Sus scrofa: one gene and its partners. The protein of the gene in region 3 purifies or fractionates together with the protein of the main gene of each other region. This does not show direct contact. Links are inferred from orthologs where the notes say so. Each region holds a gene or a part of one and is shown on either strand. Other genes may lie near its edges. The genes, in order: EIF4G3, EIF4E and EIF4A1.

The links.
Region 1: the proteins of EIF4A1 (region 3) and EIF4G3 purify together in Homo sapiens (co-immunoprecipitation; 6 studies listed by BioGRID and IntAct, counting the BioPlex papers as one, with this or other methods). This does not show direct contact. The link is inferred for Sus scrofa from reciprocal best matches to the Homo sapiens genes EIF4A1 and EIF4G3.
Region 2: the proteins of EIF4A1 (region 3) and EIF4E purify together in Homo sapiens (affinity purification with mass spectrometry; 8 studies listed by BioGRID and IntAct, counting the BioPlex papers as one, with this or other methods). This does not show direct contact. The link is inferred for Sus scrofa from reciprocal best matches to the Homo sapiens genes EIF4A1 and EIF4E.

The regions. Positions count from the first base shown.
Region 1 is NC_010448.4:79,070,019-79,080,853, forward strand, and holds part of EIF4G3 (eukaryotic translation initiation factor 4 gamma 3), read right to left. Parts: intron 5,849-10,835; coding exon 5,702-5,848; intron 5,280-5,701; coding exon 5,043-5,279; intron 3,370-5,042; coding exon 3,265-3,369; intron 752-3,264; coding exon 619-751; intron 1-618. UniProt on the Homo sapiens protein: Component of the protein complex eIF4F, which is involved in the recognition of the mRNA cap, ATP-dependent unwinding of 5'-terminal secondary structure and recruitment of mRNA to the ribosome. Functional homolog of EIF4G1.
Region 2 is NC_010450.4:121,405,249-121,416,183, reverse strand, and holds the start of EIF4E (eukaryotic translation initiation factor 4E), read right to left. Parts: upstream 6,199-10,935; 5' UTR 6,093-6,198; coding exon 5,901-6,092; intron 1-5,900. UniProt on the Homo sapiens protein: Acts in the cytoplasm to initiate and regulate protein synthesis and is required in the nucleus for export of a subset of mRNAs from the nucleus to the cytoplasm which promotes processes such as RNA capping, processing and splicing.
Region 3 is NC_010454.4:52,868,919-52,879,211, reverse strand, and holds the end of EIF4A1 (eukaryotic initiation factor 4A-I), read right to left. Parts: intron 9,330-10,293; coding exon 9,281-9,329; intron 9,012-9,280; coding exon 8,879-9,011; intron 8,439-8,878; coding exon 8,299-8,438; intron 7,416-8,298; coding exon 7,247-7,415; intron 6,923-7,246; coding exon 6,813-6,922; intron 6,661-6,812; coding exon 6,517-6,660; intron 6,440-6,516; coding exon 6,302-6,439; intron 6,167-6,301; coding exon 6,077-6,166; intron 5,812-6,076; coding exon 5,732-5,811; intron 5,633-5,731; coding exon 5,488-5,632; 3' UTR 5,276-5,487; downstream 1-5,275. UniProt on the Homo sapiens protein: ATP-dependent RNA helicase which is a subunit of the eIF4F complex involved in cap recognition and is required for mRNA binding to ribosome.

The DNA of each region.
Region 1 (10,835 bases), on a different chromosome or scaffold from region 3:
CTTTGCTCAGAAACATAAAATGGCTCTTTAATGGCAAATCAAGCCAAAAGTTTCTAAGCTGGTTCCATTCTTTCAGAAAAAACATTTTTCCATTCCTTATGAACACTTAAATTTTACTCTAATCAGGCTTATTTATTATTTTAATTCCATGACTAGAATTTTTCCTTCCCTTCCAAATACCAATACCTGGATCAACTGCCCCTTCCTCAAATAAGAATTTCGTCCAGCTTTCTATCTCTCGTCTTCTGAAATTTAACGGCCTTAGTGGAGAATACATTTCATAATTCATCTTCCAGTTGCTTGAAACGTTCCCTCTATTAGTTCTGACTTGTCAGATAAACCGGAAGCTGTTAGAGGGAAGGAACTACATCTTCTACTTCTTTTTCTCTCTCTCACCAATACTGAGTATACAGAAAATGCTCAACAAAGTCTTGTTGATTACTGCCTTTGATGTGGTCAAAGAAATCATGTTTAGTTCCTATACTCTCTGCTTTTACTCCTAACCAGTCTCCAGGTGAAGCTGCTTCACTTACCAACTGCCTCTCTATTCTGCGGGTTCAATCTATCTGTCTCTTAAACTCCCAAGTTCTCTAATGCCTGGTGGACTCCATCCCTCACCTGGTCTTCTCTTCTCTTTGGTCATGAGCTGCTGGACCTTCCTTTGCTCTTCTTGTTCTTCTATTTTAGCCTCTTTGTGAATCTGTTCAATAGTTTTAGGCCCTTGATCTGCTCTTCGAGATACCCAATTACACTACAAAAGGAAAAAATAAGATTATCAGCCAGATAACTAAGAAGAAAAAGGAAACATTTGAAAACCTATCTTATACTTTCCACTGCTGGAAAAGTATAAGATACATACAAAATCTGGTACTATGGCAGTTTTTCATCCGTCTTACACATTGGCACATGGGGTGCAGTCTGGGTGTTAGAGATGAAGAATTCAATTTTTCTCAATCAACCTGAGCTACTGTATACTGAGTCTTCCAACAGCTGATGGATAACAACACAGAGTGAGGGACTTGACCCAACTGGGTGTGTGCGTATTAAAATCATTTTGCACTTTTGAAAGGAGTAGAGGGAAGAGGAAACAAGAAAGATCAGGGGAGCTCCCGTCATGGCTCAGCAGAAACTAATCTGACCTGAACCATGAGGTTGCGGGTTCGATCCCTGGCCTCGCTCAGTGGGTTAAGGATCTGGTATTGCTGTCAGCTGTTGTTTGGTCACAGATGTGGCTCGGATCTGGTATTGCTGTGGCTGTGGCACAGGCTGGTGGTTACAGCTCCAATTCGACCCCTAGCCTGGGAATCTACATATGCTTCGGGTGAGGGCCTAGGCCCACCCCCCAAAAAAGATCAGGATTCCTCGGCCTTGACTTAGTCTGGTGTAAGGCCACTCAGTTCACAGCAAACTCCACTGCAGTTCTAAATCAAGGATGACTAGCACTTTTTGTCCTCCTATATGAAGGTTCTGGTTTCTATACAGAGTGCCACACCCTCTACCCTTTAGTCATCCTCTCTATTGAGGACAAAACAGGCTGTCTCCTTATAGTTATACTTCTCCCTTTCCTTCCCTACCCAGCTGTAATCTCCACATCTGATATAAATACAAGTGGGTGAAGGCATGGGTGGTGGTGGAGAAGTTTTTAATATTTATTAATATTAGCTTGAGGCAAGAATAGCAGATAGCTTTAAATCAGCATTTAAATTCAGATCAGCTGGCAGTGGTGGTATTAAGAAGAAGGATCCTGAGTCACACCTCAGCTTAGCAATATAAAGAACCATCATCATACTGTCTGTCTGGGTGCAGGGCAGGGAATAGGTGGGACCTAATTTCACTTTCTCTAGCTGAGGGTCAGCTGCAGCATTCCTATGGCAGTTAAAACAGGAAAAGGGAAAAGAGGTGGTAGTGGTATATAAACCGTACCTGGTATGAGAAATGAGAAAAAAAAAAAAAAAAAGGCAGTAGAACAAGAGGGTATACAAGAAAAACATTAAAAAAGAAAACATCTTTTGAGTTGGGTACTTTACATAATTATCTCACTGAATCTTTATATCATATCTCCAGAGTAAGCAACATCCCCATTTTATTATTTTTTTGTCTTTTGTCTTTTTAGGGCCACACCCGCGGCATATGGAGGTTCCCAGGCTAGGGGTCTAATCAGAGCTGTTGCCGCTGGCCTACACCAGAGCCACAGCAACACCAGAGCCAAGCCACGTCTGTGACCTATACCACAGCTCACAGCAACACCCAATCCTTAACCCACTGAGCGAGGCCAGGGATCGAACCCGAAACCTCATGGGTCCTAGTCGGATTCGTTTCTGCTGCGCCAAGACAGGAACAACAACACCCCCTTTTTAAAGACTAAAATGTAAGGCTCAGGGAAGTTAAATGTATTCATTGTGAAGATGAGGCTCCTTGATTAGCTCTTTAAGACTAATTTTATTGACCACAGTTTGAATTCAGAATGGCTGATTTCAAAACTGCAATGTGGTTTGATAATCAGAATAAAGAGGAGAAACAAGGAGTTCCCGTCGTGGCGCAGTGGTTAACGAATCCGACTAGGAACCATGAGGTTGCGGGTTTGGTCCCTGCCCTTGCTCAGTGGGTTAATGATCCGGCGTTGCCGTGAGCTGTGGTGTAGGTTGCAGACGCGGCTCAGATCCCGCGTTGCTGTGGCTCTGGCATAGGCCGGTGGCTACAGCTCCAATTAGACCCCTAGCCCAGGAACCTCCATATGCTGCGGGAACGGCCCAAGAAATAGCAAAAAGACAAAAAAAACAAAAACAAAAAAACAAAAGGAGAAACAAGTAACAGACAGGTAGGTATGTATGCCCTTGGTCCTCTCACACAGCTCTCTCATGAAAATTTGCCATCTCAAGTTCTGAGAGTCATGCAGCAAAAGCATTAAGTTATCACACATGTGTGCAGGCAGTTTCCATGGTGGCTCAGGGGTAAGGAATACAACTAGCACCAATGATGACGTGAGTTCTACCCCTGGCCTCACTCAGTGGGTTAAGGATCTGGCATTACTGTGAGCTGTGGTGTAGGTTGCAGATGCAGCTGGGATCCCATGTTGCTGTGACTGTGGCTGTGGTTGTGGCTGGTAGCTGTAGCTCTGATTCAACCCCTAGCCGGGGAATTTCCACGTGCCGCATGTACGGTCCTAAAGAAAAAAAAAGTTATTATACATGTAATTACTAGGACATTCCTCATAGCCAACTTATGAAAAAGAGACGAGAGTGGTAGGCTTATTTTTCTACTTACCAGCCTTAGGTCTATCACATCCTGAAGCATGAATCGAATCCTAGATGAGGTTTTTCTTTCTTTCACAATTTTCTCCATCTGATTAAAATATTGGTCCATACGTGGCTGAAAGAGCAAAATCATTAGTATTCCTGGCTGAGGAATTCGAATGTAGATTTACCATGTAGAATATTATTTTATTACTATTTTTGCTTTTTAGGGCCATACCTGAGGCATATGGCAATTCCCAGGCTAAGGGCTGAATCAGAGTTGCAGCTGCCAGCCTATGCCACAGCCACAGCAATGCCAGATCTGAGCCGTGTCTACAACCCACACCACAGCTCACAGCAATGCTAGATCCTTAACCCACTGAACAAGGCCAGGGAATGAACCTGCATCTTCATGGATGCTAGTCAGGTTTGTTTCCACTGAGCTACAAATTCCTCATGCAGAACTTTAAAAGGACCTAGGAGTACAACTTAGAGTCAAAAGGCAACGTGATGGAATTTTTAATTGAACGTGGCATCCAAAATAAAGGCTACATATTCTAGGCACCTGGCCATGGGCATGTGACTAATTCTAGGTCCAACAGAATATAAATGGAAATGTCATACTGTACCTCCCTGGAATCTTAAGAGAGGGGTGACTATGTCCTTTGCCCCTTTCCAACATTCTCTACTGTGAGATGAGGAAGGACAAGGGCTACACCTTAGGGATGACTGAATTTAAGCTGGAGGAACTGATATTTAGCCATCAGACCAGCCTCAGACTTATCTGTGAAATTCATTTACGAGAGTGAAAAATAAACCTCAATCTTATATAAAACATTGATATTTGTGGTTTTCTTTCACAGCCAAACATAATCCTAGTGGATTTTGATGTTAGGAAGCATTTGTGACATTTCTTTGATGGATTTCTAACTTCCCTACCCCTTATTTGGGGAGTACCATGTTATGTTTGAATTATATTATTTTTAATGATTTCTTTTTTTTGGCTGTGGCAGGTGGAAGTTCCCAGGCCAGGAATCACACCCAAGCCATAGCAGTGACCCAATCTGATCTAGTGACAATGCCAGCTTCCCAACGCACTGCGCCATAAGAGAACTCTAGTGATTTATTATAGTTTTATACGTCTGTCATTAACTAGAGCATAAACTTAAGAAGGCTACCTGGGAGTTCCTGTTGTGGCTCAGTGGTAATGAATGTGACTAGTACCCATGAGGATGCATGTTCGACCCCTGGCCTCAATCGGTGGGTTAAGGATCTGGCATTGCCATGAGCTGTGGTGTAGGTTACAGATGAAGCTTGGATCCCATGTTGCTGTGGCTGTGCTGTAGGCTGACAGCTACAGCTCCGAATGGACCCTTAGCCTGGGAACTTCCATATACTTCAGATGCGGCCCCAAACAGACCAAAAAAAAAAAAGCTACTGGGTCTTCTTCATTTCTTTCTCATTCTCGGTCCTGGCCCTTAGTAGCTTTTCTCTCCAGAATTTCTGCCAACTTACTCTACCTATACATACAAAATGATATGTGAGATAGTCATGCAGAAAAAGGACAAGGGACAGATACTCTGAACCATTTGTGAACTGGCTTTTACACAATTTGGGGCCCTCTTCACGTCTGACTTTACTGAAGATATGGTAGAAGCATGATGGCCCAACACTGACAGTGAGAAGGATGAAAGAAGACAAACAGGAGGCTGAGACGGCGGGGGAAATAGGGACACTGCTGCTGACAGTCTCCTTCTTCTGCAACTGACAGAGTCCCTGCTGGAGGTTTCTGGGATTTGGGGTTTTCACCTTGGCTTTCTCAAAGTCCAGGTCTTTGCCAATTGTGGTGAGTAGGCGACACAGGCACTCGAGGGATTCTTCATCATGGTTCTTTAGCAGCTTTACCACACAGTCATGCATGATGGCTTCAGTCAGCATTTTCAGTTTGAAGAGCTCCCCAATAAACTTGATGTTACCAATGGATCTCCGCCGGGCTTTATCCTTAGCTTCTTCCAGTTCATCATGAAGCCTTGTCCTCTCCTCTGGCTGTTGCATAAGGAAGAGTAACAGAATCTTGATGATAAAAACAGTATGCAAAATAAAGGCTAAAAACACGCATAGAGAGTCATGGTCTCTACCTTTCCAGGCATCAGGGACACACTCTGAGATTATGACAGCAGCTACAGGCCTACTCAGAAAATGAAATACACCCAAAAGTCTGCACCTATTTCAGGCGATTTCTCGAATTCAGTGACCTCTCTGAAATCTAGGTTCTGAATCCCTAACTTAAAAGGTTGAGTTGCTCTAACATGTGGCACTAAAAGGAACAAAGCTGCCTCTAAACATCAATAAAGTTATTTCCACATGAAGAAAAGGCCACAGGCACCTGCTGAAGTAGTAAGAAGATGTTGTAAGAAGCTTTGTGAAAAATCTATTTAATAACACTGTCTTTCTGTGAAAATACTTACAGCACTGGCAGCCTCGAGTTCTTTCTGCTTCTTTTCGAAGACATCATCATCAGCTTTATCTTTTTCAAACTCCTTCTGGCAACGGTTCAGTAGCAGCTTCCGGAAATTCACTGTGTTACCAGGCTTGTCTGCCATGGGTACTTTCAGCTGCATCCAGATGGGAAAACGCAAAAGCAGCAAGATTACTTAAAGAAATTCAATGATTTTCTCAAAATACCTATTTTCTTTATTGTGCAAAATAATGCTGACTGAACTACAGGTAAGCACTCTGTAAGAGGTATGAAATATAGCTTCAGGAATTTCATGTTTCAATGGTTAAGATGTTTTAAGTTTTATACAGAAAAGATAAACGTTGTATAAATGTACTGTATCCTCTACAGCTGATTATGCCTCTAGATGCCTTTGAATGTAATATTATTACAACTATGATTTGTACTCTCTAGACTTTTTTAAAACTGAAGGGTTATTACTTTTATTTTTCTTACTACCAGTGTAGGCACTTTGGTTTAAAGGAATAAATGAAAATAAAATAAAGTATGGGGGAATTTCATGACCCTAGGAAAACTGTTGGAGGTGAGATCTTTATTGTGGAAAAAAGCACAAAGGGGAGGAGTTCCTGTCATAGCTCAGTGGTTAACGAACCCAACTAGTACCTATGCAGACGCAGGTTTGATCCCTGGCCTCGCTCAGTGAGTTAAGGATCTGGTGTTGCCGTGAGCTGTGGTGTAGGTCACAGACACAGCTTGGATCCGGCGTTGCTATGGCTGTGGCGTAGGCTGGTGGCTGCAGCTCCAATTGGACCCCTAGTCTGGGAGCCTCCATGTGCCATGGATATGTCCCTAAAAAGACAAAGAAAAGAAAAAAAAAAAGCACAAGGGGGGGACACATTTGAGGCTTTTTCCAGACATCTTTTCCCAAGGGAGATGGCATAACACTGTAATGCTAGTATTTACCTTGACTATAAATATACTATGTTTATTGATTATTTCTTCTGTGCCAAAAGAAAACACTACTTCTCTAATAGTTCAGTCTAATAAATGCCCACTTTAGAAACATTCTTTTGATAAACAGAAAGACTCAGAATGGAGGATGGCCACCTATAGGCAAGATGCTTATGATTTTTCCATTCAAATCCAGTAATAATTGCTTTCTAGTAACTCCCAACAGCTCATATCTTCAAGATTACTTATAACCAAACACAGAGATGTTCTTATTTAGAATATAAAGACAGTGGACTGGAGCAGTGATTGGCTAAAATATTCTATTTTACAGACAAGGTCCCTTGAGTACCATTTTGAACAGCCACCGTATATAAGATGGCAAAATATTTTTCTAGAATCACAAAGGAGGTCCCCAAGTTCTGAAATGCACATCCCTGCCCTAGATTTAATGGAAGAAATTGGTAAAAAAAAAAAAAAAAAGGGATGCACTGTATTTATACTCATAAAGGGGTTAATGTTATCAACCAGAATGGACTTTGACAGCTGCTGATTGAGACTGAGTGGCTGGAGAAACTTCTTCAGAACTGAAGACTATGATACGATAGGTCTATGTGCAAGAACTGATGGCACACCCTCCAACATGTTCCCAATGAGACAGGAAAGACCACTCAACCAGTCTAGTTCTTATCAACCAAGGGCTAAGTGTTTCATTAGGCTATGTTGAAAGAGCTGGGTTCAAGATCAATATTTCCTTTCTTGATTTTAAACAAAAGCAACTCTAACCTAAGCTTGTTGCACCATCCAAAACAAGGGAGAGACAATCACAGTGTCTAACCTAGATTGCAGCTTTAAGCATCCAATGAAATAGGTTTGCATTCTATAAGAGGTGTATGCATGTTTCAATGGGTAAGGTGTTTTAAGTTTTGTATAGAAAAGATACATATCCCTGTCATATAAATGTATTGTATCCTCTACAGGGCTGGTTGTGCCTCTAGATGACTTTTGAAAAAACACAGTTTACCTGAGATATTTGGAACACTGAAATTGAAAGAGCACTGGAATTTTGAGCCATAAAATCAGGGTTTGAATCCCAGCCCCATAACTAATCAATATGTAAATGTGAGCAAGTTACCTCATTAAGCCTTAGTCCCTACATCTGCAAAAGGAGGCATTCCAATGATTACAGATTGAGGGCCATTATAAAGTAGCTGTTGAAACAGGAGCTTTGGGAGATAGTCACAATCACAGTTCTGCCATGTGACTTTCGCCAAATTACTTAGCTTTACCAAACCTTTTCTTTCTAAAATGAGGATAACATCTATCTCTTAGGACTGTGTGAAGGATTAACTGAGATAGTCTATGTAAAACAAATAATAGTGGCCAGCACATAGTGAAGAGTCCAATAAATGAATGGAGCTATATTTCACATGTTCATTAGTAAAGATTAAGAGAAACCGTGGGAGTTCCCGTCATGGCGCTGTGGTTAACAAATCTGACTAGGGACCATGAGGCTGTGGGTTTGATCCCTGGCCTTGCTCAGTGGGTTAACGATCTGGCGTTGCTGTGAGCTGTGGTGTCAACTGTAGACATGGCTCGGATCCCGCATTGCTGTGGCTCTGGCGTAGGCCAGTGGCTACAACTCCAATTAGACCCCTAGCCTGGGAACCTCCATGTGCTGTGAGAGCGGCCCAAGAAAATGGCAAAAAGACAAAAAAAAAAAAAAAAAAGAGAGAGAGAGAGAGAGAAACCTATATTATAATAACGCAGACATCAAAGAAAGTATTTAAGTTAGTTCACAGAGCAATTAGGAAGAGAACCACAAAAGGCAAGAATACTGAGTATCTGCTGTGCAAAAATGATGGGCATGGGACATTTCATATGTATAGGACATAAGGAACATGTGATTGTACATATGCTTTTTAGGTATATTCACATGAAACAAATAAAACCAAACAACCAGCTGAATGGCCACAAATCTGCAAGTACATGTGTCTCTAAAGGAACGAATGCTTAGCTAAACCACCCCCTAAAGACCTGTTTTGGAACGTGATCTTCACGTCTTCTGGGGATGGGTAAGAGGGCTGCGGAAATATGAAAATAGGCTAGGGAGAATATATCCTCTGAGAACTCCTTCCTAGGAGATGTTAAATTCTACAGGAGTATGACATTATTAAGTCAGCATGTGTTGTCAGCTGAACAATGACTGGTCAGAAACGCAGTAAAATTGGTTACTTAGAACAGAACATGAAGAGTGGGTGTCTTAGATGGGTGGGCTTGCTATAACAAAATAAGACTGGTGGCTTAAATAACAGACATTTATTTCTCACAGTTCTAGAGGTTGGAAGTCTAAGGTCGATGTGCCAGATGGGGTTCTTGGAGAAGAACTCTCCTCCTGGTTTGCAGACATTTGTCTTCTCCTCTATCCGCATATGGCAGAAAGGAAGCTCTAAGGACTCTTCCTCTTCTCATAAAGGCACTAATTCCACCACTGGGGTCCCACCCTTATGACCTTATCTAAAGCTAATTACTCCCCAAGCCTCCATTTTGTAACACCATCACACTGAGGGTTAGAGCTTCAACCTATGAATTTAGGGGGAGACAAATACTCAGTCCATAACAGTAAACAAGGTAGATGCCTGCAGATGTGATCATGGCTAATAGCAAAAAGGAAAGGTGATACGCAACAGTGAGAAAAAGATCTCTCTAGACAACTATAATTTTCATCTATCAGCAGTCTGTGATTGAAACTAAGCTATATATATGTTTCAAATGGGTTTTTTGGGAGATAACTTGTCAGGAAGTGAGGGAGTCAAGGGGGAATATTTTATAGCTAAGACTGCTTAGCAAGCTAGATTTGTTGGAGAGCAACCACCTTTTCTTTTTTACACGACAGTAAACACTGCGTGACATTACATTACACTTTAAACTAACAGTGTTCCTCTCACACTGTGGTGAGGTCAGGCAGCAATCTTGATATGAATGTTGTCAGCATCAAGTAGTCATTTTCTTAAAGCAGCAGGACTTGCACTGCTAATATATTTGTTAGTGTTGAGGGTAGATACTTCTTATTCCTAAAATGACCAAACTCCCTGAGAACCATCAAGGGCTGTCAGCTGTATATAACAGTAGTCAAATAGGAGACAGAAACAGAAGGACAAGCCCTGGCCTTGCTTGGCCTGTTTAGGACTTTCAGTGCTGTCCCAGAACATAAAGGTCCATAACCTGTGGACCAGTAGCCATTTTGCTCAAAGAATGTTCTGGTCTGAGGTAAAGTATTTGGAATGACTACTATACTATTAACAAGTGAGGCCCTCAAATTAAAATGTGAAGTGAACAGCAATAAATTAATTGACTGACTGTAACTCATGGATCCATGGTGACATATTACCATTTACCGGTGGTTATATTCTGACCCTAGTAAATCCCCACCTAAAACTGAACATAACATAGTCTGTATGTACTAACATGTCTATCAAAATGCAGCTCTATCAGATACATGTGAAAAGGTATACGGCGCTGAGGGATGCCCACAAGATTGAAAAGGAGGTGGTCAAGTTAAAAAAGGGTAAGTCATTTCTCGTCGATCTTTTCTTCAAAACATTTTTCATCTTTCATCAGTGTGGCACATCCCTCCTCCTCCAGCTGATCCAGCCACTTGCTGTATTTGCCTAAGGCCAGCTTCTCATGTCTATAATTCCAGGCTTTATTTCTGAAGAGATTTAACTGTGTCACCCTTGTTCTCTTAGTGTCTCTTCTTGGAATTAGTCCTATCATTCTTTTTACATCTTGCTTTAAAGCACTTAAAAAGTGACAAGATTCAAAGTTCTGGATTTGGCATTAAAAGAACACAGAATGTCCAAAAATCTACCTTAGTGCCATTTTTATAGCCGAGGTATGTTTGCCCGCCACAGCAGAGATTAAAAGGTAGCAAAAGTACTGTCTTCGAGAGTAAAATAAAGTCAAGTTGTTCTTCTTTCACTCATGCATTTACCCGCTCACTCAAAACACATGTGCCAGGAACTGTTCCAGGCACTAGGAATTCAACAGTGAGAAAAAAAAAAAAAAACCAGCAAAGTCCTTGCCCTTAGGAGCTCACATTCTAATGGGATTCTGAGATGGGGATTTTCTTTAAATTTTGATTAAAATAAAAGCACCGACATTTAAACTATTAATCCAGTTAAAAATATTTTAAG
Region 2 (10,935 bases), on a different chromosome or scaffold from region 3:
TCGTTAACCACTGAGCCACGATGGGAACTCCACAAACTGTCATCTCTGAATGCTGCATTTGAAAATCAAAGTCAGAGTTCCTGTCATGGCTCAGCGGTTAATGAACCCAACCAGTATCCATGAGGACTCGAGTCTGATACCTGGGCTCACTCAATGGATTAAGGATCCTGCACTGCCGTGAGCCATGGTGTAGGTCGCAGACATGGCTCAGATCCTGCATTGCTGTGGCTCTGGTGTAGGCTGGCAGCTACAGCTCTGATTCCACTCCTAGCCTGGGAACCTCCATATGCATCAGGTGCAGCCCTAAAAGAGACTAAAAAAAAAAAGAAAATCAAAGTTACTATGAGATAACTTCTTATTCCCATTTTTCAGCTACACTTAGAAACTTTGGTCTAGAAGGTCACAAAGACATTAAAATTAAGATTAGGACTCATACTCATTTCCTTCTCAAAAAATTCTCACAAAGTGAGGCGTTCCCACTTGTGGTGCACTGGGTTAAGAATCTAACTGCAAAACCTCAGGTCACTTTGGAGGTGAGGGTTCAATTCCTGGACCAGCACAGTGAGTTCAAGGATCCAGCATTGCCACAGCTGCAGCACAGGTTGCAACTGTGGCTTGGAGTCAATCCCTGGCCTGGGGAACTTCCATATGCATTGGGAGTAGCATTAAAAAACAAAACAAAAAAACAAAAACCAGACTCAATAGAGCAATGCACAGGAGCAAGAAGAGCAAGGAAATTCCTATTAGTAGTAGAGAAGGAAAAGAAGAAAAAACTATTGCTAGTACAACTATTTCACAGGTTCCTTGTTCCAATAAAGACTGCTAGTACTTCTACTATATTCTTAAACTTATACAAATTATTCTATTTCATTTTTAGAATAATTTTTTAAAACTCTGCATAGAATTTTCTGCCCAAATTGGCCAGTTAACATTTTATTCTCTCCAACTTTGGTGTGTAAATTACATCTGTTTCTAATTTAGACCTAAGCCTAATAATTAGGCATATTAATTCAAAGCATAAAGTGAAGTGAAATTTAAAATATAAACATCAGAACCTAACTAATTTGTTTGACTTACATATGAACTTTGATATACTGGGTTCTTTCATAATGCAAAAATATGCATATTAATTTGCAAGGTCTGCTTGTTGGCCAAAACACTGCATTATATAACATTTGTCAAATATGTATTTAAGACTTGTTTACTTTTTTTTCTTTCTTTGTCTTTTTGCCTTTTCTAGGGCCGCTTCCGTGGCATATGGAGGTTCCCAGGCTGGGGGTCAAATCGGAGCTGTAGCCGCCGGCCTACACCAGAGCCACAGCCACACGGGATCCGAGCTGAGTCTGCAACCTACACCACAGCTCACAGCGCCACTAGATCCTTAACCCACTGAGCAAGGCCAGGGATCGAACCAGCAACCTCATGGTTCCTAGTCGGATTCATGCACCAGTGTGCCATGACGGGAACTACAAGACTTATTTAATAAACTCTTTGCAATACAAAATATGTTCCTAAAGGATAAAAGGGGAAACATTAGATCAGCTGACTGTACAATTCCACTTATGAAACTAATGTACAGTTTAAAAAATTCGAGACATACAATATAAAAACAAGTAGAAACTTCAGGGTTTTTTTGTTTTGTTTTGTTTTGCTTTTTAGGGCCACACTCGCAGCATATTGAAGTTCCCAGGCTAGGGGTCAAATGGGAGCTACAGCTGCCAGCCTACCCCACAGCCACAGTAATGAGGGCTCTGAGCCACATGTGACCTATACCATAGCTCCCAGCAACGGTGGATCCCCAACACACTAAAGCCAGGAATTGAACTTGCATCCTCAGGGATACTATGTGGATTTGTTTCTGTTGTGCCACAGCATGAACACCTACTCCCTAAGTTTAACTAAAGAAACCATACATAATCTTTTACCTTTAAAAGAACTACAAGTCAAAAAAAAAAAAAAAAAAAAAAAAGCCCAATAATGAAGAATGCAACATAAAGATAAAAGCTATTAAAAACCATGACCCAAAGGAGGCAAGTTGGCCTGCCATCTTCACCAACTAATATTAAGTCTAACTTTGATCTACCCACAAAATCTAATTTTAACCTAACCACATTCAAATGCCAAAAGAATAACAGGAGAATATTGTTTATCCCAATGTTCAAAATTTTGACATATTATGGGAGTCCCCTTCGTGGCTCAGCAGTTAACGAGCCCCACCCACTAGGATCCATGAGAATGCAGGTTTGACCCCTGGCCCGGCTCAGGGGGTTAAGGATTTGGCATTGCCATGAGCTGTGGTGTAGGTTGCAGATGCGGCTCAGATCCCAAATTGCTATGGCTGTGGTGTAGGCCATCAACTATAGCTCTGATTCAACCTCTAGCCTGGGAACTTCCATATGCTGCAGGTGAGGTCCTAAAAGAGAGGAAAAAAAAAAAAAAAAAAAAACTTGCCATATTACCTGTTTAGAAGTACAGCACTTCCTTTAAATTGCCGATCAAACTTCTCAACACATTTACTATCTGCAAACCACTTCTTGTGTGTGTGTGTTGCTTTTTTAAAAATTGACGTAGGTGATTTACAGAGTTCCCATTGTGGCTCAGTGGTTAACAAACCCAACTAGGATCCATGAGGATTCGGGTTCAATCCCTAACTTCACTCAGTGGTTAAGGATCTGGTGCTGCCGTGAGCTGTGGTGTAGGTTGCAGACGTGGCTCGGGTGCTGCTGTGGCTGTGGAGTAGGCCGGTGGCTACAGCTCTGTCTGATTCCATCCATAGCCTGGCAACCTTTATATGCTGCAAGTGAGGCCCTTTAAAAAAAAAAAAAAATTTTTTTTTTGAAAGTAGTCGAGGAGTTCCCATCATGGCGCTGTGGAAACAAATTCAACTAGGAAGCATGAGGTTGTGGATTCAACCCCTGGCCTTGCTCAGTGGGTTAAGGATACAGTGTTGCCGCGAGCTTGGACAGACAAGCTTGGATCTGGCATTGCTGTGGCTGTAACTCTGATTAGACCCCTAGCCTAGGAACCTTCATATGCTGTGAGTGCAGCCCTAAAAAGCAAAAAAAAAGAAAAGCAAAAAAAAAAAAGGAGTTGATTTACAATGCTGTATTAGTTTCAGGTGTATAACAAAGCAATTCAGTTTTATATATGTGTGCATTTATTACTTTCCAGATTCTTTCTCGTTACAGGCTATTACAAGATATTGAGTATAGTTCTCTGTGCTACAGAGCAGTTCCTCGTTGTTTATCTATTTTATATATAGTAGTGTTACCTGCTAATCCCAAACTCCTAATTTACCCCTCCTCCCTTCCTTCCCCCTTTGGTAATCCAAATTTGTTTTCTATGTCTATGAGTTGATTACTATTTCATAAATAAATTCATTTGTATCATTTTTTTACATTTCATGTAAGCCATTTAACTGATCTCACAGACACTTGAGAATCACACAATATAAGTTGAAAATGATATTTAACATAATTTCCATCGATAAAAATTCCCTGAATGCCTACAAAGGTGGGACAAGCAGGAAAAAACCTGACTCTTAGGTGCTTATGATTATGTCCAGCAAAAAGTAAGGAAAGTCACAAGCTAACTCCATTAGCAATGAACAAATATGTTTTCTGTAGACTTCTACAGGGATACCGATTGCAACAAACACTAATCAGCTGCTTGAAAAAAAAAAATCTCAGTTGTTTTGTGGTGCAGGGGGTTAAGGATCCAGTGCTGTGGCCTGGTTTGCTGCCATGGCTCAGATTTGATCCCTGGCCCAGGAGATTCCACATGCTGTAGGCGCAGTCAAAATAAGTAAATAAATTAAATTAAACAAAACTCACTATTTAAAACCGTCCAAAAATAGAATTCTAAAGGACTAACCTGTGGACAAGGATGCATTAAAAAGTACTAAAATTTTGCATTTTCACTAAAAATGAACACTTAAAATTATTTTACAAGAATCCTAAAAATACTATAGTTTCAAACTGGCTTTCTATTTTATTCAAACACTAGGTTTTTAAGTTCCTCACTCCCCACATTTGAATTCAGTATTCAAATCTCCCAGGGGTCATTACTAGAAGGACTACTATACTGTATCATTCACAAGATCACTGGAAATTAAGCTCCTAGAGGTTTACATTGAACAAGGTATATAATCACATTTTGTATAACTTTGTATCCTAAAGAACACTTGGTACAAGGTTCTAAACATACAGGGGGCCATAAATATTTACTGACTCAAAACAGTTCTTCAACACTTTGTAGTTCTGTTCTCTGCTGTTGAACCAAAACAGCATAGCTTTGCAAAACCCAAATTACCTAAATGTTACTGAAACTGCACAGAATACATTATTGTTTTATTGTTTAGAGGTTTTAGCCTTGCCCCTATTACCAGCTGCAATGCTTTTTATTGAAGCTGGTACAATAGGTAGGAGAGTTCGTCCAGTTAGAAATAGATGTCACAACTCATTAAAAGGGACTTAACTAAAATTTTACAAATATATCTTTTATCTATTTAACATTAATGTTCTAAAAACCAGTTAACTGTACCAGCAACTTAAGAGTTTTGTAGTCCATCTAATTTTCAGGAATATAAATAAAAATCGGTACCAATAAAAATACAAGGGAGTTCCCACTTGTGACAAAGTAGGTTAAGAATCCCAATGCAGTGGCTGGGATTGCTGCGGAGATGCAGGTTCAATGCCCAGCCCGAAACAGTGGGTTAAAGGATCCCGGTTAAAGGATCCAGCGTAGGCGTAGCCGCAACTGCATCTTAGGTCCAGCTGTGGCTCGGATTCAACCCCTGGCCTGGGAACTTCCATATGCCTCGAGTGCGGCCATACATACAATTTTCAAAAATAAATAAATAAACAAATGAATAAATAATAAATATAAGTACAAATGACCAAGCAGAAAAACTGCCTTAAATTCGGGCAACAAGGAAAGGATAATTAACATCAATGTAACTGAAAAATAAGCATTTTTGTATCCTATAGATCTTTTTATAACTAGTTTTTTTTTTTAATTATAAAAGTCTTCAAAGAAAAGTCAAAGCAAATTGGGACGCCATCATCAAAATCACGAACTACCATTAAAGATTCACAAAATTATCGGGCAACCAAGGTCTAGTACAGTTCCAGAGTATCAAACGTTTTCTGGCTACACACCTCTAAAACAGAATCACTTGTATGTGACATTCCTAAAACGGCAACACAGGCCTAGAAGTTTCCGTGAGTCAGTGCCGGCAAACCCAAACTATGACAAACATACTCTCTCCTTTGGGCGGTAACTATCAACTTTGTGCTCTGGGATCAGCCTGCTTAAAATAAGTTTAAGATGGTGCCTGAACTGGGAAGAAAGCCAGGAGAACGGATAAAGAAAAAAAATCAAACAGAAACCTAACTTTAAAAGTTAAGTTAAACAGTGTCTGAGAACTCTTCCAGAGGATAAAGCCGCGGAAGAACAGATGGATCTACACCCATTCGCACTCTCTGAGGCGTGCGCACAGCGCGGAAAGGATGAATGAATGGAAGACAGGCGCGTGTGAAATGCCGCAGGTCCGGCCGGCAAGCCGACCAGCCCCAGCAGCTATCAGCAGGCCTCGCTCCTCCCCCTTCCCTCCTCCATGACAGCCCAGGCTCAAGCATGGAGGGGCGAGGACAATGTGATCCCCCTTCCAACCACCAGCACCCTTCACCCTACTCTCAGAGCTTTACCGCGCCACCAAGGGTTCTCCTCCCCACCCCGAAACCTTTCTCGCCTCCCGGGTCGCCAACCCCGACAACTCTCGGACATGCTGGAGTAACATGCGCTCGCCCCTCTCGGCTCCCCTCGGCGAGGAAGAACCTTCTCCGCGCGTGCCGCGGCACCACTCCCGCCCAACCCACCCCGTGGCACCGCGCGCTCACCGGCTCCCTGGCCCACCGGTCTAAGAAATCCCGGCGCGCGCCCGGAACCCAAGCCCCTGAGCCAGAGCTCGGGAGGGAGAGAGGGAAAGGCTGCTCCGAGGCTCCCTCCTCCATCTCATTCCAGGCCGGCTCGCCGCCCACCGTCCCTGCGAATCCTGGCGCTCGTTCGGAGCCGGGCCCGCGCCTTCCCATCGCAAAGGCACGATTCCCACACACCTCGCCCAGAGGCCGGATCACGCACCACCCTTATAGACACCTTGCGGCTCCACAGGGGGAGCCGCGCCGCCCCTCCCCCACATCTCTCCCCTAGCTCGCGGGCCCCCACCAGAACGTGTGCTCTACACGCCGTGGCGGCCAGCCTCCGGGGCGCCCCCAATTGTCCGCAGGGAGGTCAGGCCAAAGAAGAGGGGGAGGGGGCGGCAAGGGGTAGCGTGCGCGCTGGGAACGCCGTCCCGCGGGATCCTTCAGTCCGAAAGGAGACGGAGCGCGGGGACCGGTGGGGGTGGGGGCCAAAGGCAATACTCACCGGTTCCACAGTCGCCATCTTAGATCGATCTGATCGCACAACCGCTCCTGAAGGGAGGGGGTGAGAGGAAAAAAATGAGATTCAAACCGGATTGGCCGGCTACTGTTCACGTGACGGACGTGTCCGTTTGGCCCTGGCGGCGCCTGCGCAAGACTGCAGCTGCGTGTTTAACAAGAGGCTTCTGGGAAGTGGAGTCGCTCTCTCGGTGGCTCGCTCTCCCTGTCTCTTTTTTTTAGGCTAGGAAGTTTAAAAAAAAAAAAAAAAAAAAGACTGGTCACGTGGCCGGTGGGTACCGTGCGCGGTTCTCGGCGCAGCGGACACTCGCGTGCTGGAGGGTGGCTTTCAGTCCTCTGCTCTTCCGCCTGGGTAGTTGCTGTCGCACTCACTGCCAGGCATGCCTCCTGTGCCCTTTGTCGCCCTGTCCTCCCATCTTCCTCGGAAGGTTGGGAACTGTAGGCTCAACACGCACAATAAGGCTTCATTTGCTTAGTTGAGGTCCTAGGACAAGTTGCCTGTGTGTTTATTTAATTTTCTTTTGACTTCCCACCATTTTCTCTTAGTTCCAAAAAGAGGCGGCGAGGGAAAATCGTTAAGCAATCAACCCTCCCCCGTCCCCCGGCTCCGCTAACGCTGGTGGTCACTCATTGCCATCACTGCGAAAGGGAGTGGCGGAACCGCCCACAGTAACCACTTGCCACAGTTCGGGGGAGGGGGAGTGCACCCGACAGCTTTTCGTGTTCCAACTCCTGAGATTAAAATCTCAGGGCTAAATCTTGCGTGGAAGTAAAAATTATCTGAAGTTCTGTCCTCTCGATTGCACTGTTCTGCTTCGACGTGAAGGGAAATAGCCCAAGTCCAGGTGCCAGCCAGGGAAGCCACTCCGGCCCCCGCTGACTAAGCCCTGGACTGACCGTCAGGAGTCGTTAGGCTGGGTCAACTATGACTCTTGACGTTGACTCATTCTCCTTAGGCAAGTGACTTAATCATTCAGTGCCTCAGCTTTTTCATTTATGAACCACAGATGGTAATACACTTACCTCACAAGGGTATGCTGTGGTAATGATTGTAACCAGCTTTGAAAATGCATCAGACTCTATAAATGCTTCATAATAAGCAACCTCGTGCCTTCGTAAGGATCAGCTGCTTCCCTTACTGTTCTTTAAACAATGTTTTAAATTTTTCTTTTGCTTATGTTGTTACATTATCATGTACACCAATGCAATTTTAAAAGTTTCGAGACAATGTTTTTATAACTAGCTACCCTCCATAGAGGCTTTAATGTTTAGGAAAATATTGTTATAATCACTGGCAATTAGAGGTTTATCCCCAGAGTGACATCCGACGTTTTCTTCCCCGCTAAGATACTGTGCTGTCATTTCTTTCTTTTTTTCTTTTTTTTGCTTGTGCTGTCATTTCTGAAGACAGTCTTACTCTGCACAGTCTGGTTATCCATATAAAAAAACAGAAGAAATCTAGCAGAGTGCTACTGCAAGATTTTAATGAGGAAGATATTATATCATTACTATTTCCCATGCTTCTTAAGAATGTTAACACCAGAAAAATCAGTATAATCAGGCTACCTGTGCCTGCCTGCTTTAGTGCTGCTGATGTCCAGAGCTGTGTCATACCTATTATTGAGTACATAATGGTTGCTTGAGTTGACTAACACATAATTGAGACTGTAATAAGAGCTCAAAACCATTTCCTGCTCATATGCTTTGGTTTACCTGGATGTCAGAGATGATTAATGAAAGCTTTGGTCCAGTCAGCTTAGCTCTAGTAGGTTTAAAGTAATAGAGTTCTAAAAAATAAAATAAAACAAATTGGATAAAGAGGTTTCTATTTGCAGAGACTATGTGCTCTTAATTAAACTATCCAAAGTAATTATAGGCAATCCCAGTGATATCTTCTGTTAGTTAAAAGTAGTATCTGATGGGAGTTCCTGTTGTGGCGCAGTGGAAGTGAAACCGACTAGGAACCATGAGGTTGTCAGTTCCATCCCTGGCCCCACTCAGTGGGTTAAGGATCTGGCCGTGCTGTGAGCTGTGGTGTAGGTTGCAGACTCGGCTTGGATCTGATGTTGCTATGGCTGTGGTGTAAGCCGGCAGCTGTAGCTCCAGGTGGACCCCTGGCCTGGGAATCTCCATATGCTGTGGGTGCCATCCTAAAAAAAAAAAAAGTAGTATCTCAATATCTTTGAGGAGATAATATAGATGTATTATTTTCCCAATGCTGCTAGATAACAGATTTAAAATTTAAAAACACTTCAATCTCTATATGGGACTGAAAACCACTGATATTCTCAAACTTTAATGATAGCTCCCATTTTATTAACTCTCTTGATCAAAACACTCTTCACTTTTGGTAATCATCCTAGTACTTCTATGGTGCATATATATGCACCTATTCTTCAGAGCTTAATTTCTCTCATTTTGTATGTATTTTGTTGCATGTGTTTTGTGGCATATTCATGTGTCCTTGCTTAACATCACTATTAGATTCCACCATGTCAAAGACTTGGTGATTAAGTTTTTAATCTATGTGTGTCTATGGTTTTGTTTTGGCCAATCTGAAATGTACAGAGAAGAAAATTTATACTATATTAATCTACAAATGTACATTTGTTACATTACTACCATATTTGTGTTTGCATTTAAAGAAAAGAGAATAAAAAGATTTTTTTAAGTGGGAAATGGTATTGAGATACTATTCTACTTGATCTCATTATCTAGTTAATACATAACTAATAGCCCAGTGTAATATCATGGTAACAATTATTTATAAGCCTAAATTATTGGTCATCATTTAAGAATGTAAAAATAGTCATTATCTTTTCTCTACATATTTTCCTGAGGCTGCTTTATTACTAGTCTATAGATTTTAACTCACGGTAAAAAGACGTTAAATAATGTAATAGAATGCATAATAAAAACATCACATCATTTTTATCATGTATTTTATTTAGGTTTTCTAGATAACCAAAGTCATTGTTTTGCTGGGCATTGTTCAACTATGGTTCAAACTAATTACATTTGCTATGATCAGTCGATCCCTCAAAAATATCACTGCTACCCTGTCTAGGATTTTTCTTTTCTTTCTTTCATTGGCTGTGTCCCCTGCCTAAGATTTTTTTTTAAACAGGCCTTGTAATTTTAGACATTCTGTTAATTTAGATGCCTCTATCAGTCTCTGACTAGTAGTAAGCAATCCTTTTTCTTAAAATGAATAGGCTTTGAGCATGATGACATGAAATTGTATAATAAATGATCCTTAATATTTAATGCTGCATATTAACTTTAGATATAATCTAAACTGCCTCTAGTTAACATTAACTTCTTATAAACCTTTTTCATTCTCTTTTAAACCTGGTTATACTTTATACTCTATTTTTTTAATTGTTACTGTTATTTTCTACAGTGATGTTCCTTTAAGAAAGCCCTAAAATGATGGCTTCTAACAGTATAAGTAATCTTTTCAATTACGATTATATAGGAGTTGCCTTGTGGCACAGTGGGTTAAGTATCCAGCATTGTTACTACAGCAGCCCAGGTTGTTCTTCGATCCTTGGCCCAGGAACATCTACATGCCACAGGCAAGCCCAAAACAAAACCAAAAACAAAACAAAACAATTACATAGTTTACTATTTGAGAGCATTAGTTCTGATGTCAAGTTATCGTTCACAATCTCAATTCTACCGTTTGCTGTAAGACCACACAGATTATTTAGTCTCTTTGTCTCTCATTTTTGTCATGAGCTGGATGGGCACAATAATAGTACTTATCTTGTATAGTTAGTGTGAGAAATGAGTTAATCCATGCTTAGAATAGTTCTTAGAACACAGTAAGTACTCAATGTTAACTATAACTACCATGATGTAATATTATATTAACATAAATTTCTTATTTCTACTTTTTGTAGCGTAATATGCTTAAGAAATCTTTTATGCAGAGAACCAACCCTGCCCATTCTCTTTAAGGATATTCCAAGCTTTCAGAATCAACTAACGTTTATTGATTTCTTATAACATACTGAGTTTTTTGGTTTTTTATTTACCTTTTCTTGGGCCACTCCCGCGGCATATGGAGGTTCCCAGGCTAGGGGTCGAATTGGAGCTGTAGCCACTGGCCTACGTCAGAGCCATAGCAACTCAGGATCCGAGCCGCGTCTGCAACCTACACCACAGCTCACGCCAATGCCGGATCCTTAACCCACTGAGCAAGGCCAAGGCTCAAACCCGCAACCTCATGGTTCCTAGTTGGATTCATTAACCACTGCGCCATGACGGGAACTCCTATACTGAGTATTTTTCACATCAATTAATTCATTTATCTTTATTACAAATACATGAATTAAACATTATCACCCCCATCTTATAAAGAAACAGACTCAGTAAAGTTAGGGAACACAAGCAAGTCCACACAGGCATTGGTGAGTCAGAATTCAAACCTGGTTTTCTTTTTTTTTTTTCTTTCTTTCTTTTTTTTTGCTTTTTAGGGCCGCCCCTGCAG
Region 3 (10,293 bases):
ATATGGCGTCTCCCCCCCTACGGAGCGCAAGACACTTCCGCCCTTCTCAGAAGTGACTTCCGCCCAGCACTGGCGTGGCGGTAGTCGCCGGTGTCAGTTAGTCCGCACTGAAGTCCCTTTTAAGGCCCGGGGGCTCTTGAACAGAACTTTGATTGGATTCCAAATGAAACTCACCGTGAAGCAAGTCCCACTGGACGAAAATTTGGTCGTAGCATTTCTCAGGTAAAAGAATCGGCACCAACACCCGTTTGAGCGGCCCATCTACCTCAGCCGCCATATTGCAAAGCTAGCTTCCGCCAGTCGCGCAGACCGCCATTGATTCGCGGTGCGCATGCGCACTCCGAGCTCTCCGCCTCCTGTCTTCTCGCGATAAGTCAGGACCTCCCCAGTTCCCCGCTATTTACGCCATCCCACCTTAGCGGAAAGTAGGTCCCATCCCAGGACCGCGTTTTCTGGACGCGCCCTCCCTGCTGCTGGAGTTTTAAAGCTTGCCAAAGCTGTACGCCTGCGCAGTTCCAGCTTTCGCATCTTTGTTTAAGCTTCCGTTTCGGCAGCAGGATTTATTCTCCTGCATTTCTCCGCTCCTCCTGCTCGGCGCCATCTTGTCTTCTTCCATCTGACTTTACAGTGCTCGAAGTTGAGGGAGAAAGAGCGTGAGTCTGCAAAGTGGCGTTGCGGGGGGGAGCGCTGTGGTTTTCTCTCTTCTTACTCGGCGTCTCCAGAGGGCGCCGAGGGCAGCGGGACGGTATGAGCCAGGCAGCCCTCCTTAGGTTCCGGGCCCATATTTCTCCCTCCTTGGGCTCTCCCAGGCTTTGACGGATGGGAGTGGCAGCAACTGCTGGGTCAGGACAGTGAAGCGGAGGAGGAGGTGGGGAAGGCGAGCCCAGTTTTGGGGGACAGCAGAGCCACCAGCCCTCCTGCGGGCCCAGCCCTGGCTGCTTCTGTGAAACAAGTGCCCCGGGGTTCTTCTCTCTGCCACCCAGCGCCGGGACACCAGCTCGAGCTCTGGTGGCTGGGCCCCTGCTGGGTGGCAGTGCCACACGCTTTGGTGACTCCCGCGCTACAGTCTGCAAGGTCCTACGGGGTGTCTGCAAGGTGGTGGTGTGGTTACTGGGCCTCTGCCACGTGCTGCCCGCAGAGGGGTGGGTCTCCAGGCTCGGGTGGCTGTTTTCTTGCAAGGCTTTTACGACTGGAGAGGCCCTATTCTGGCCCCTGGGATTGCTCTTGGCCGACTGTAAAGGGGGGCGTGGCACTCATTGGTGGTGCAAGCTGTGGCGGTCGGGGCGGGGGGGTGTCTCTTTTTAGAAAATGGACGCAGGCTGCCCTGGGGGTGCCACGCACCACCCCTAGGTGCACCTCCACTGAGGACTTCAGGGTTGGCTTTGCAGGTTGCCCAGGCCGGAGGCATGTTGTTCCCAGGAGCATAGAGTCACTGTATGTGGAGGTCAGGGTGCCTGTTGCTCCCATGGTTGATGAAAACCCTTTACAGGTGAGACAAGAGCATCTCAGGTGTAGCAAGGGTTTATTCCGGGCTTCCCTAGCCTGTTACGAAGCCACCGGTGCAGCCTTTTGAAAGGAAATGAACCCAGCTGTGACCTTTCCCTCCTCACTCATTGCTGTTGTTGCCTGCTTCACCTTAATTGCATGTGATGAGGGTCGGGAAGAAGGCTGCTGGGCTGGGTGGCTCCACTGGATTGGAGGAGAGGGAACTGGTATAGCCAGGGGCCAGCCCCAGAAGAAAAGGAAGAAGGGAGCCAAGGCAGGTTTGACACTAGCTGTGCCAGGCTTTGGGGGGTGGACCCAGGAAGTCACTGGGTTACACGGTGGCATTTTCATCCCTCCTCACCAGTTGTTTCTGGCTCCCTGAGATCCAAGCATGGAAGGCACAGAAAGGCATGAGCCCAGAAACTCATGGCTTTTCATTCTGGCAGGAAGGACAAGGAAAACCAAGCATAGAGATTTGAGCAGGTTTACTATTCTCTCTCTGGAAGTAGGGGAAGGGAAATCAATCATATTTAATAAACATCTCTCCCGATTGCATTATCTCTACTTTTGTTCATCAAGACAGAGAAAGAAGAAACTTTGTCTTAGAGTCAGTTGAGTGGGGAGAAATAAGGGCACCCTCTGGTGCCCTGGGTGTTGGAACAGATGCTCACAGAGGCTGGTAGGCGGGTGGGCGTCTCCGGATGATGCAGAAGGTAACAAGCACCAGGATGAGGAGGCCAAGGAAAATCAGTCCAATGATGAGAGGCAGCAGGATGGTTTGGTCACTGGGACAAGAGAAACCTGGCAGAAAGAAAGGGCAAGTTGGGAGTGCCCGTCGTGGCTCAGCAGAAACAAATCTGAGTCATATCCATGAGGACGCAGGTTTGACCCCTGGCCTTGCTCAGTGGGTTAAGGATCCGGTGTTGCCGTGAGCTGTGATGTAGGTCGCAGACACGGCTCAGATCCCATGTGGCTGTGGCTGGCAGCTACAGCTCCAATTTGACCCCTAGCCCTGGAAGTTCCACATGCGGCAGGCGCGGCCCTAAAAAGACAAAAGAAAGGGCAGGTTGACATCACAATGGTGGTGGCTGGGACAGAGAGGAGGGAAGGAATGTGGGGGATGTTGGGAAGTGCGAGGTTGGTAAGAAGCTCACCTAGATGACTCCGAGCAGAAATAAAAGGGGAGAATGAATGGGCAGAGTCTAGAGAGGACAGGTGCCCCAGCTATGACAAGCTTGAGGGGGAGGAAGTTTGGGGATGCAAGAAGGAGATGATAGGCCTGGGTGGGGGATTTCAGTGCAGTGGGAGAATTCTGGGAGTCAAGGACTAGGTATTACTTGGTCCAAAGTTCCCTGTGGGGGGCAGCTGAGCAGCTTGTAGCTTCAGGGAGAGCAGGTCGAGGTGGAAAGCTGTTGAAAGAATGATGCTTGCGTTTCTGCAGCTGTAGCTTCGGCCCACAGGCGTTTGGAGATCTCGAAGGGATGAATTCTGAACTGAGAATGTCCACTCTAAAAGAAAGGGGAGGAGTTCCCGTTGTGGCACAGTGGTTAATGAATCCGACTAGGAACCATGAGGTTGCGGGTTTGATCCCTGGCCTTGCTCAGTGGGTTAAGGATCCGGCATTGCCGTGAGTTGTGGTGTAGGTCAAAGACGCAGCTTGGACCCCGCGTTGCTATGGCTCTGGCATAGGCCAGTGGCTACAGCTCCAATTCGACCCCTAACCTGGGAACCTTCATATGCCGCAGGTGTGGCCCTAGAAAAAGGCAAAAGACAAAAGGGGGGGGAGGGTCAGCTCCACGTCCATGTCCCCACAGCCCAGCTCAGGTCCCTTCAGGAGCCCAGACATCTGGTGCAAATGATGAGAAGGGGAAGGTAACTCACGCGCTGCCCGGGGGAAGGACACGTTGTACTCCACAGCCATGTAGTTCAGGTAGACAGTGCTCTCCTGTGGCTGCTGGGGAAGTGATCAGGAAGACTCAGGCAGCGGCAGATCCAGGTACACAGACTAAGGAGTGTGGCAAGGGGTTTGGAGGCATAGGGGGCTTGGAGGCCGAGAGCGAGGGATGAGGGTTGAGTACCTGCTTGAATCCAAAGGTGAGCTGTCCGTAGGGGAATGAGAGGCGCACGTGGGGATGGGCACCCTCACAGCCCCCCAGGGCCTTGGTTTTGTTGGGGTTCAGTACAGAGATGCCCCAGGCCTGCAGAAGTTAAAGATGAGAGGGTCACAAGACTGCACAGCTGCGCCAGTCAAGCTTCCTTCCTTGTTCCTTTGGTCTTCACGCTGGGTTTGGCCCCCTCTACTCCTCCCCTTCTGAACCAGGGCAGCAGGCTGCGTGCCCTTCCCCGCCTGTCCTCACCTCTCCTCCACCCTGGGTTGGGTACAGAACTCGAATCTGAATCTGGGCTTGGAGCTGGACGCAGGGCTGGGAGCCGTTCGTCCAAGTGTAGTCTCCTATGGCCTCCTGGGAGCCCGGGCTAGGACTTGGAGAGGGTGGAGGTGGCCCTGGGTGGGGGGATCTGGTGGAGGATCCTGGGCTGGTGGCAGTGCTGCTGCTTGTTGGATGAACTGTGGCATTTCCGTGACTGGTGGTGGTAGCAGGATTGTGAGTGACTGTTGTGGGCCCATGGCTGGTGGTGCCTGTGGTGGTGGTTCTTGGAGTGGTGGTTCTGTGGCTGGTGGTGCTTTCTGTAGCCGTAGGTGTCACCGTGAAGGATGGCAGCAGAGTGGCTGATTTTTTATGAGGAGAGTCGACCCCAGCTCCCTGGGCTTTCAGCAGAGGAAAGAACTGGTTGGCAACCCAGGGGCAGGCTTCTCCCTGGGCACCCCCCACCCCCAGCCGCCTTCGCCTTACCTGCGAGGAGTCCCAGCAGGGCCCCTAAGAAGAGCACAGCCAACGTCATGTCAGAACAGCCTGCACTCAGAATCCAGCTAAGTTCTGTGTGGGTCCCAGCTGCCTGCTCTCTCAATCCTAATCCCTCAGCCTTTTGGGAAAAGGAAATAAATCTGACTTCCTGTTAACTGGTAGCCCCGCCCCCAACTTGACTCAGGCACCTCAGCTCCAGCCACTAATCTCCTGAGTCATCAAATTTGTGTCACCTAGTGATTAGCCCTGGCATTTCCAAAGTGGGCACTGTGTTACGTGAGAAGGGAGTTTGGGGTAGTCGATCCTGGGAGACTCTTGTCCACCTCAGGAAAATATGCTCAGGGGTTGCAGGTGATCAAAGGACCAGAGCCTGCAGCCACAGCCCCCCACCCCCCAAGCTCAACGGGGTGTAAAGATCACAACTTTGATTTCCCCTTTCTCTGGGCTCAGATCACTTCCTCTTTGCCTAGAGACATGTGAGCTGCTTATGACTGTGCTGGCCCAGCCCCTTCCTAAGAGTCATGTTACCGGTTACCCAGTTCAGCAGGGGAGCAGAGCTGTACCTACCCAGTAGCGGGGTAGGGGAAGGAGAGGTAAGAAATGAGAAGCCAAAGCAGTTTCCAAGTTATTTTATTCAGAATTTTGTGTTTGTTTTCCTGCATCAATAAATACTATACAAAAACAATGTAAAAATGGCTACCATGTTCTTTCCCCTGCTCCCCCCCCACCTGGGGACAGTGCCCTGGGCCACTTAACTCGGGCTCTCCCTCCAGATTTGGTCCAGCAAATGAGGTGGAGGGGCATTACAGCCCCCACTGAATTATTTTCAGAATTCAGCTGGGGTGGGGAGAGCCTTGGGTTTGAAAGTTGACGAGGTTAGGGAAATGGATTAGTGTTTCTGGGAGAAGAGCCGGCGCCTGGGGCAAGAGCCTGCCCCAAAGAAAAGGGTGTCTAAAATGGTCATGGTTCCTTCTTTTGCCTCAAAAAGTGACATTTATTCAAAGAAAAAAAAAAAAAAAGAAAAAAATGACAAGATGTCCATCCCTTGGCTCCCTTCCCTCCCCCCTGCTGCTGTTCCTCAGCCCCCCTCAAGGACAGGTCGGATCCCTGGCTGGGGCTGGGAGAGCAGAGCAGCGCCTCAGATGAGGTCAGCAACATTGAGGGGCATCTCCTCGATGGAGGTGTTGTAGAAGGTCTCAATGTCCCGGAGAGTCCTCTTGTCTTCTTCTGTCACCATGTTAATAGCCACACCCTTACGGCCAAAACGTCCGCCACGACCGATCCTGGGAAACAAGTTAGAGTATGAGGAAGATGGGGAAGACCGGGGCGCTGCTGTGCAGGGAGGACTGGGCGGGGGGGGGCAGCCTGGCAGGTGTCTTTACCTGTGGATGTAGTTTTCCCTGTTGGTGGGAAGGTCATAGTTGATGACTAAGGAAACCTGCTGCACGTCGATGCCTCTGGCCTGTGTGGGAGAGAAGGCGGCTTCAGTGGGTGACTCCAGGGAGAGGGAGGAGTCTGTCCAGGAGAGGCGTGTGTGTGGGCAGCCCAAGGCAGGCAGAGGATGTTTACAGCCCCTCGCCGCCAGAGCCTCAGGCCTGCCAGATGTTATTCCAAGCTGCTACTTTCCAGAAGAGGGGCACAAGCAGGCCCCTTGGAGAGGGAATCACCTTGGATCCGCCCTTGGTCCCCAGTCTTCTCACACTCGCTTCTACTCAGCTTCTACTCACCAGCAGATCCGTGGTAATCAACACTCTGCTGGAGCCCGAGCGGAACTCCCTCATGATGACGTCGCGTTCTTTCTGGTCCATGTCCCCGTGCTACAACAGGAAACAGAAGGCGGCTGTTAGCAGGTAGGTGTGCTGGTTCAGCGAGAACTGGCTGGGGAAGTAGGCCTGTGACAGCCCCCCTCTTGCTGGGAAACCACGGCCGCAGCGGTGGCGGCGGGCGCTCACCATAGCAGAGACGGTGAAGTCTCGGGCGTGCATCTTCTCCGTGAGCCAGTCGACCTTCCTTCGGGTGTTGATGAAGATGACTGCCTGGGTGATGGTCAGGGTTTCGTACAAGTCACACAGGGTGTCCAGCTTCCACTCCTGGGGGTGGGGGAGAAATCAGTCAGGGGCTATCCCCCCGCCTTCCTGCCAGGCCCGCCTCCTGCACTGGGCCCCACCTCGCGTTCCACATTGATGTAGAATTGGCGAATACCCTCCAGGGTCAGCTCTTCCTTCTTGACAAGGATTCGAATTGGGTCCCGCATGAACTTCTTGGTCACTTCCAGCACATCAGAAGGCATTGTAGCTGACAGCAAAACCACCTAATGGGGACAACAGTCTCAGGGGAGGTAGCAGGTCCTCCAGAGCTTTATGGTTTGTCTGGCACTTTGTAATGGTCTCTCACCCCGAGAACACTACCATCCGTACAAAGGAATCACCACTCACACGAGCAAAACCCCAATGTTCTTCTCACCTGGGTGTTGCTATTGAGCTTTTGGAATATGTCATAGATCTGGTCCTTGAACCCTCGGCTTAACATCTCATCAGCTTCATCCAATACAAACATCTTGATGTATTTGGGAGCTAACAAAAGAAAAAAAAACACACACACACCAACAGGTATTTAAAAAAGGTAAGATATACTTTCACTTCTTCCCAGATAAAGAATAGGAGATAGGTGGTCTGCTCTCAGAATACAAAGATTGATCCTTTGCCTGTGAGCCCCTTGCAAGGCCAGACAACAGCCCTGAGAAGTAGAACACTACCTGGGCTGAGCTGACAGGGAAGCCAGGCTCAGATGACACGCATGGGGTTCATCACAGAGCAATGCTTAAAAAAAAAAAAAAAAAAACTGGGAAAACATGCTTAAGGAAGTGACCCAGAGACCTGGAAAATTGAGACACTCACACAAGTATCTCCTGTTAAGCATATCAAACACACGGCCTGGGGTACCCACGATGATGTGGGGAGCTTCCATCTGTAGCTTCTGCACCTCAGCACGCACATTGGTACCACCAATGCAGGCATGGCAGGAAGCACCCATGTAATCTCCTAATGCCATAACCACCTTCTGTATCTGAAAAGATAAAATGCTGTGTTAGCTATAGTCACCAGGCTCCATCTCATAAATGCTTATGTACTGGAGTTCCTGTCGTGCCTCAGTGATTAACAAATCTGGCTAGGAACCATAAGGTTGTGGGTTCGATCCCTGGCCCTGCTCAGTGGGTTAAGGATCCTGCATTGCCGTGGGCTGTGGTATAGGCAGCAGAGGCAGCTTGGATCCAATGTTACCATGGCTCTGGTGTAGGCCGACAGTTACAACTCCAATTGGAACCCTAGCCTGGGAACCTCCCCGTATGCCACAGGTGTGGCCCCAGGGGGGAAAAAATGCTTATGAATTTATTTTTCCCAACAACTCAAGCACTATTAAACACTCACTTCATAGGCAAGAAAACAGTCAATTTATGAGACAGGTGTCTCTGATCCTTTTCCTCTAAGACCCAGGAAAACAGTTCATTCCATGTGTCCTAGGCATGAAACAGCTCTGGCCACCAACCCAGGCATCAAGCTAGGATGAACAGAGGACTATATACACATCTGCTTTTCCCATGACTGATATAAGAACAACACCACCAATCAGGTGTCTCTTTGCCCATTGCCAGGGGGTTTTGGTCATAGAAGAGCCAAACTTGCCCAGCCAGTCACATTCCACCCAGCAGCCTTCACATCTGACTCAGGAAACGGGTGGAGTAAAGGATGCTTACTGTGCTTGGTTAAGGTTTATAATTAACCTAATAAATCCCAAAAGATCTACAAGTTATCAACTGACTTTGTTTCATCTCTTTCATTCTCTATACGTCAGTTCTTCCAAGGTGGTGGTAGTCGGGGCACATACTTCTGATTTTTGGGTTTTATTATTCATTTCTAAATGAGTCCTTTGGGGAGAGGTAAAATCTCACCTGCTGAGCCAACTCTCTAGTGGGTGCCAGGACCAAGGCCTGGGTGGCCTTTAGATCCAATTCAATCTGCTGCAGAATTGATATGGCGAAAGTGGCAGTTTTCCCAGTCCCAGATTGGGCTTGAGCGATCACATCATAACCTAAAGTGACAAAATGAGAGAGAAATTTAATGGCAGGAAATATTCTTTGGAATCATGGGACACTGAAAAATAACCCACAGAAGGGTCCGTATATGTGCCAAACAGTAAGTGCTTCACAGACTTGATACCACAACACAGTACCAAGGCAGACCTGGAAGCCAGGTGAAGGCAACAACTCATTTAGCATGGCACCCCAAAGCTGGGCTACAAATACAGGTGTAAAATTATAATCTGCCTAAAAACAAGAGCCTGACTTAAATGAAGCCAACAATCCATGTGTCCAGGGCATGAACCAGGCATAGGCACAAACCAAAAGCCAAGCTGGGATAAACAAGGAGTTGCTTTGTCCCTGGCTGATATGAGACAGGCACCACCAACCAGATGCCACTCTACCCAGGCCAGGGACAGCCCATACATTTTTTCTGGGGCAAAGACCTTACCCTTGATACAAGGAAGAATGGCTCGCTGCTGGATGGCAGAGGGCTTCTCAAAACCATAGGCATAGATGCCACGGAGGAGGGACTCCGAGAGGTTCATGTCATCAAAGCTGTCAACAATCTCATTCCAGTTACTCTGTAAGAAGTAAAAAAGAATTAACAGAAATGGGGCTGTGCTCTTGCACTGGAGCAAACAGGACCTTCTCTGCCTGCACCAAAGTTCCAGAACCCACCACCTTCTCCTCCCCAAGGAAGCCAGCTGGTTGGGTCTATGCGGCCTAGAAAACTACTCTGAAGGGACCAGTTACTTGTAAACAGTGAGGTTATATTATAAAGAGGAAAAAAAACATACTTTTGTTGTATATACTCTTACAAAGGATAACGGCGGTAGGGGTCCAACCTTACCTCGATGACGCCTTCGGGCTCCATCCCATCGGGGCCATTGTCTCTGGATCTATTGGTTTAAAATACAAGCACATAGAAATCCTGACCACCAGACTCTTCCTCCCAGCAAGCGGCTTTGCATGCTACCATCAGTCTTCACTCCCGATCCAAGCCCCATGAATTCCGGAAACACAAGAGCAGTTACTTTACAGCCGAGGCCTTTGCCTCATCTCTGGAACTGCTCAGGCCAAGCCGCCTCCCCACCCTGCCCTACAGAAGACCCGGAGACTGGAAGGAACGGCGCTGCGCTGCCCGGGGCGTAGAGGTGGTGCTGGCCGCCAGGCCCACGTGTCTTGGGCCGGGCCGCTCCAAGACCCAGCGCGTGCACCTCCCACTGTGGCCCCAGCGCGCCGGAAGTCCCGCCTTCCACCTCCCAGATGCGAGAGGAGGACATCCCCTTCCCCCCCACGTCATGCCGCCCGCGCCCTCCCCCACTCCCTCCAGCCCATCTCCCCGCCTCGCGGTGCCCGGATGTGGGAGGCCGCGGGCGGTGGCGGCCTCGCGCACAATGAGCCCCAGCCGAGCTAGCAAGGGGGGAGATTGCACAACACTTAAGAGCGAAGCCGAATGGGGGAGGGGAGCACCTCAGGCCGCCATGTGCTCGCCTCCTCGACCACCCGGCGGCGCACCCCTCCCCTCCGGGGAACAATCCACACCCCGCCCGCCCCCGTCGCGAAATGGCGTCGCCCTCCCATACCTCAGGCCGCTCACCCCCGAAGGAAAGTGGACCTGCCCATCCGCAGTTTGCCAATTGCCCGGCTTGTGCGGCAAAATGGACCCGCCCGCCCGGCGCCGGGTGGGCTCCCGGTGCCTCAAGCGGCCGCTCCTCGGGGTTAGGGTCGGTCCTGGCCGTCAAGAAAACCAGCACACTGAACGGCCGGCTTCTTCTCCCGCGACCCATAGCTTCACGCGACCAAGCGACTGAGGATCCAGGCACCCCCACCTTCGGCGAGTGGTACCGTCAGAATCCTCCG